2 linked regions of the Rattus norvegicus genome follow. The protein of the gene in region 2 purifies or fractionates together with the protein of the main gene of each other region. This does not show direct contact. Links are inferred from orthologs where the notes say so. Each region holds a gene or a part of one and is shown on either strand. Other genes may lie near its edges.

The links. Proteins that work in one complex are often made in the same cells at the same time.
Region 1: the proteins of Maf (region 2) and Usp5 purify together in Homo sapiens (affinity purification with western blotting; 3 studies listed by BioGRID, with this or other methods). This does not show direct contact. The link is inferred for Rattus norvegicus from reciprocal best matches to the Homo sapiens genes MAF and USP5.

What each region holds. Positions count from the first base shown.
Region 1 is NC_086022.1:159,308,058-159,310,968, reverse strand, and holds part of Usp5 (ubiquitin carboxyl-terminal hydrolase 5), read left to right. Parts: intron 1-339; coding exon 340-428; intron 429-1,296; coding exon 1,297-1,419; coding exon of another isoform or gene 1,420-1,488; intron 1,489-1,950; coding exon 1,951-2,094; intron 2,095-2,172; coding exon 2,173-2,318; intron 2,319-2,495; coding exon 2,496-2,649; intron 2,650-2,904; coding exon 2,905-2,911. UniProt on the Homo sapiens protein: Deubiquitinating enzyme that participates in a wide range of cellular processes by specifically cleaving isopeptide bonds between ubiquitin and substrate proteins or ubiquitin itself.
Region 2 is NC_086037.1:60,618,862-60,622,530, forward strand, and holds Maf (transcription factor Maf), read right to left. Parts: upstream 2,496-3,669; 5' UTR 2,319-2,495; coding exon 1,209-2,318; 3' UTR 551-1,208; downstream 1-550.

The DNA of each region.
Region 1 (2,911 bases), on a different chromosome or scaffold from region 2:
CCTCTCCCAACACTCTTATAGTACAAGCTTTTTTTTCCAGTATGGCCAGCCTCTACGTCATGCTCTAGCCCAGGCACTTAGTGTCACCTGAAGGCAAATCTGGCTTCTAGAAAACAGCAGGCCTCTGGCATGGTTTTGAGACCTAAAGAGGTGCTTCAGTTTTAGGGAGCAAGTCCTCAGCACAATGCTGCTCCGGCCAATCAAATCTTTGCTTCTGCAGCTCCTTGTTGTACCCCCTGATCTCTACCCAGGCAAGAGGAGAAGGGAGTATCTAAGAGACACCAAGACCAGTGTAGAGAAAGGAGAGCTCTGGGGTGCCAGCACATTTTCTCTCTCCAGGACTACACGGTTTGCCTCCTTCCCTGACTACCTGGTCATCCAGATCAAGAAGTTCACCTTTGGCTTAGACTGGGTGCCCAAGAAGCTGGGTATGCTGTTCGGGATGAGGGTGGTGATATAGAAAGTCCTAGAAAGGGGCTGGAGAGATGGCTTAGCAGTTAAGAGCACTGACGGCTCTTACAGAGGTCCTGAGTTCAATTCCCAGCACCCACATGGTGGCTCACAACCATTGGTAATGGGGATCCAATGCCCCTGGACAGGGTACTCATATAAATCTTTAAAAAAAAAAAAAAAAAGAAGTCTTAGTAAAAGATAGTTTTAACATGTATCAACTAGTGTTCCTCAGATTTTTCTCTGAAAAGGGAAGCATTTTGTATATGTTTCAAAATGTATCTAGTTTGAAAAGATACTGATTAAAACTTCTTTGAGTTTTTCCTTGTTTTTGAGACAGAGTCTCACTGTGTAGCCCTGGCTGGCCTGGAAGTTGCAGTGTAAATCGGGTTGGCCTCATACAGAGATTTGCTTGCCTCTGCCTCTCAAGTGCTGGGATTGAAGGCATGTGCCACGATACCTGGCTAAAACTATCTTGATAGTCATGACTGATTGTATTGTTACAGTTTTTCTAGTTGATGACAGTGCTTTTAATTGGGTTAATCTTGAAGCAGGTCTTACAGGCCCCTGGCTCTAACCTGGCACTCTTGATTTGTCTTGGTTTTGTCAAGGAGGAAACTGAGCCCTTCAGAAGTATAAGGCACTCTGACCGTAGAGGCCCCTTGCCTGTCTATCACTCGTGGTAGATAATAGGTCCTCTGACTCCTGCCCTTTCGCAGGTTTCCCATGGTTGGAACTATTCAGAGCAGATCTAAAGCATGCCACAGGAGCTTGACAGTCTACTGTGCTTTTGCAGGTTAGCATCAGGAAGCTGCCGAAGTGACCTTTTCACCGTTCCAATTGCAGATGTGTCCATTGAGATGCCAGAGGAGCTAGATATTTCCCAGCTGAGGGGCACAGGGCTACAGCCCGGAGAGGAGGAGCTGCCTGACATTGCCCCACCCCTGGTCACTCCGGATGAGCCCAAAGGTAGCCTTGGTTTCTATGGCAACGAAGACGAAGACTCCTTCTGCTCCCCTCACTTCTCCTCTCCAACATGTTAGTGATTCTTCTTCCTGCCTGTCTCTCTCCCTTGCTGATGGGGGAGGGCTTCTCTGTATTCCTTCCTTCCCTTCCTTTGTTTCTCCTGTCCTCCCTTCCAAACTCCCTGTGTACCCTTGTTGGATGTGAAGACGGGCTGAAACACTCCCATCTGCATTCTTAATGTGGATGTCGGTAGCATGGGCTAATGGCCTCTGTATCTTTGTTACTTCCTTGGTTTGGGTGGGGCGGGGGAAGGGGAATGAGCTCCACAAATGGCAGAAAACTGATCAACTTTGGGATACCAGGCTCATAGTTTGCTTGTGGCTATTTTAGTTGTGGTATGAAATGCTTGTCTAGGAAAGAGAAAAGCACATGCGGGGTGATTGGGAGAAGGCTAGAGGCTTGGCATGGGGTTGGAGGAGGTGAAGAAACCAATGGAAACAGTAGCAGGAAGTCATCGCTCCAATTCTACCACAGCGCCCATGCTGGACGAGTCCGTCGTCATACAGTTGGTGGAGATGGGCTTCCCTATGGACGCCTGCCGGAAAGCCGTGTACTATACAGGGAACAGTGGTGCTGAAGCAGCCATGAACTGGGTCATGTCACACATGGATGACCCAGGTAGGCACAGGCAGGGGGGAGCAGGGTGGGGCGGGACCTCTACACATCCCCAAACACTCATCCCTTCCTCATCCCCAGATTTTGCCAATCCCCTCATCCTGCCTGGGTCCAGTGGGCCTGGCTCCACAAGTGCAGCAGCCGATCCCCCACCAGAGGACTGTGTGGCCACCATTGTCTCCATGGGCTTCTCACGGGACCAGGCCCTGAAAGCTCTACGGGCCACGGTATGTGCTGCCCCATGGGACCTGGAGCCACAAGTGGGACAGGGTGGGAGTAAGGTTACATGAACGCCTTTTGGTTAACGTACCAAACCCAGTACAGTGTGGTTGAAGCTGGCAGCTCTTGATGTTTGCGTGCCTGACTGACTCCTGAGGAAAAGTAACACTTCCCTCCTCTCCAAGAACAATAGCTTAGAGCGGGCTGTAGACTGGATCTTCAGTCACATTGATGACCTAGATGCAGAAGCTGCTATGGACATCTCAGAGGGACGCTCAGCTGCTGACTCCATCTCTGAGTCTGTACCAGTGGGACCTAAAGTCCGGGATGGTCCTGGAAGTGAGTGTCACCAAGACTCATGGTAGAGCTGGGGCTGTCTCCTGTCAGCCCCTTGTTCTAGTGCTGTGTGTTTCTCAGTCTGAGGGCTCAGGAACTCTGTCTCTCTGATGGGTCTTAGGAGGGTGGAATTCAAGGAGCCGAGGTACCCTTTGCTCACGTTCCCCGAAACTCTAGTTTTGAGTTTGAGCTGTTAAATACGGTTGGTCACCCAGGAGTCTGTTTTCTCCCCTGCGTTGTCTCTCTCTTCTTCTCCAGAGTATCA
Region 2 (3,669 bases):
TCTGAACTCAAAAAAGTCATGAGGCTGTAAATCAAAAGTATGGATGTCATGCGCTAAGTCTTCAAAAGTCCATTTCCAAGCCAAAAGGGGACAGAAAAGGAAAAAAATAATTATACCATACATGTCCAGCATGCAGGCTTTTTTTTTTATTAATATAATGTCTCTTTCCCATAATGTCTTTGAAACTGTTAATAGTTCGTTGTCGCTAAGACAAAGTAGCAAGCATCGTAATGCATGAGATGAGAGGAAGTTTGTTTTTGTGTTTTTGTTTGTTTTTAATGGCAGGCTAAACTTTCAGATTTGGCATCATAAGGCCAAAGCTCCCAAGTCACACCCAGAAGGTTGATGCAGCCTTGATTGTGGCAGGTTCAGGAGAGGCTTTAATTCATTCAGTTTTAGCATAACAATGCCTAAAAAAAAAAAAAAAAACCCGGTGGAACTCAGCTCGCTGCAAGGTCTATAGCATTTCACATTTTTTTCCTTTGCAAGCTCAATCAGAAGAACTCAGGAGGAGAAGAAAAAACCCTGCTCTTTTTTTTTTTTCTTTTTTCTTTTATCTCAAGAACATGGTGCAGAGGGAGGGAGGGCAGAGGCTGGGAAACACAGCAAGCTCCAAAAAAATTAGTAATAATAAACAAAAACAAAGAAGAAAAAAGAAAATCCAAACAAAATAAAAAAACACACACACAGAGAATGAACACCAGCTCATGAACTAAAGAAGAAGAAGAAAAAAAATATACAGGCGCTTGATGGCCGGGTTCAAAGGTGAGTTATGTCCTACATGAAGTATCCTGCTCAGATCTTTGACCCTTGTGCAAGTCCAGGGTATGTGTGGGGTAGGCGGTGTAAAAAGAGTAATAATAATAATAAAAAAGACCAAAACAACCAAGCTAGCAAGTTACAGGGGAATTCAGGTTGGCAATCCATGAGCCAGATACCCTTTCCCTCCCCAACTCAAAAGAGCCACCACCACCACCACAAGCTTGCTGTGTGTGTGTGTGTGTGTATGTGTGTGTGTGTGTGTGTGTGTGTGTGTGTGTGTGTGTGTGTGTGTGTGTGTGTGTGCGTGCAGGGCCAAGGGGAGCAAACTCGCCAGGGGAGGGGGCGAGGTGGTGGCGAGCGTGGCCCTGCAAACTGGCAAGCCCACTCAGGAGCCGGACCCCCACGGAGCATTTAACAAGGTGGCTAGCTGGGATCGCGTGTCACACTCACATGAAAAATTCGGGAGAGGAAGGGTTGTCGCTGCTCGAGCCGTTTTCTCGGAACCCGCTGCTCACCAACTTCTCGTATTTCTCCTTGTAGGCGTCCCTTTCGCGCACCAGCCTGGAGATCTCCTGCTTGAGGTGGTCGACCTGCTGCAGCAGCTGGTTCTTCTCCGACTCCAGGACGTGTCTCTGCTGCACCCTCTTGAAGCGGCAGGACTGGGCATAGCCGCGGTTTTTCAGGGTCCGCCTCTTCTGCTTCAGTCGGATCACCTCCTCCTTGCTGACCCCGCGCAGCTGCCGGTTCAGCTCACGCACCGACATGGTCACCAACTGCTCGTCCGAGAAGCGGTCGTCGAAGTGCAGGCCTCCCGCGGCATGGTGCGGGTGCAGGGCGCCCCCCGCCCCCGCCGTGCCCCCGCCGCCGCCGCCGCCGCCGCCCCCGGCGCTGGCCGGGCCACCGCCGCCCGCGCCACCCGCGCCGCTCGCAGAGGCGGACGCGCTACCCGCGGCTCCCGGGGCGCCGGCCGTCGGGTGGTGGTGGTGCCCCGTGGCGTGGTGGTGGTGGTGATGGTAGTGAGGTGCCCCGCCGCTCTGCGCGGCGGCCGCGGCGATCACGGCGGACACCACGGCGGCGGCGGGGCCCATCTCCTCGCCGCTGCCGCCCAGGGAGGCGCCGGCGCCGGCCCCCGCTGCCGCGGCCAGCTGCTGCGCTCCCCGCGCATAGCCATCGAAGCCACCCTGGAGCTGGTGGCTATTGCTGATGAGCGCCTCGACTGCGTCCTCCGGGCTGAAGCCCAGCGCCTCCGGGTTGAGCTGCTGCGGGTAGCCGGTCATCCAGTAGTAGTCTTCCAGGTGCGCCTTCTGTTCGCTGCCCGAGCCCGGGCTGGGCGCCGAGAAGCTGGGGGACGGGGGCACCGAGCTGCAGGGCGTGCTCATGGGGGTGGAGGACAGCGAGCCCCCGGCGATGAGACGGCCGCACTGGCTGATGATGCGGTCGGTCTCCACCGGTTCCTTTTTCACTTCAAACTTCATCAGATCGAAGTCATTAACATATTCCATGGCCAGGGGACTGGTGGGCAGGTCGGAATTGTTCATTGCCAGTTCTGAAGCCATCCTCCTGCCTCCGCCACCGCCGCCGCCGCTCCGCCAGATGGGCTGCAGGAGAGGGGCCAGCGGGCTGTGCTGGGTGGCCAGCGGGTGAGCCAGCTTGCCGGGCTAGGGCGCTTCTAGCTCGCGCGGCGGTGGCTGTGGCCCGAAAGCTCGAGCGTGCACACACCCCCCGCCCTGCCCGCAGCCCCCCGCGCCCGCCCTCCCTCCCCCCTGCTCACGCCAATGTGCTCTCTCTCTTTCTCTCTTGCTCTCTCTCTCTCTCTCCCGCTCGCCCCGGGCCCCCTCCTCGCCTGCTCGCCTCTCTGAGCTCCGATCCCGGGCGCTTCAGGCTCGGGAAGGTCCTCCGCGGCTGGCGGTGGCGGTGGTGATGACAGCGGCAGAGAGGATGCCGGAGGAGCCCGGCCCGGTGCGCGGCGTCCCCGGCTCGCCGCTCCGCTGCGCGCTTTGCATAAGGAGGGCTCGCCTAAGCCGGTCGGGGCTGCAGGCGGGGCGCGCGCGGCGGCTGCTCCGGGGTTGTGTGGCGCGGCGGGTGGCTGTCCCGGAGGCGCGGGCCTCCACACCGGGGTGGTTAACACTTCACGCTTCTCTCCTCTTCTGCCTGGCTCTTATGGTTACTATTATTATTTTCTTTTCTCTCTCCGGATCCCTCGCGTGCGCGCGCGCTCTCTCTTTCTCTCCTCACCCTCTCCCTCCGTGCAAAGTGCAAGACCGAGGTGCAGGCCGGCTGGAGGCAAGGGAGGGGGGAGTTTAGTTCTTTCTTGCCCTTTTTTTTTTCTTTTGGTTTTGGTTTTTCTTTTCTTTTCTTTCTTTCTTTCTTTTTTTGCTTTAAAGCAAAATGGCAAAGTCCTGGACCAAGGCAAGGCCGAGAGCAAAAGGGTGGGGGGAGAGGCCGAGCGGACAAGCAGCTCGAGCTACAGCTCCGAGATGAAAAAAGATTTTAAAGCCTCTGATCCAGCGAGAAGAGTTTAAAGCAATTGCTGAGTTTTATAGCACCCGTGACGTCAGGTTCAAATGGGAAATTGACTGGCACTCTCCGCCAATGGGAGGCGGCGAAAGCGGCAGCGATTAGCATAATAGTATAGAAACAAGGAAACTTTTCGGAGCTGTCAATCACAGCCCAATCAGCTGACTGTCAGCTGGGACAGGCTGGCTTAACCCTTGCGGCGCCGCTGCTGGGGCGCAGCCAGGGAGCAACATCCCCCACCACCGCCCCGTGCGAAGTTTAATGCACCAAGGGACAGAGTTTACTAAAAGGGCGGCTGGAATCCGATGGTAGGACCCGGGAGGAAGGTTTGCTTTCTTCAGAGTTTGAGAGAGGCCTGCCCGACTGAACCTCTGCTCTCACGCTGCAGCG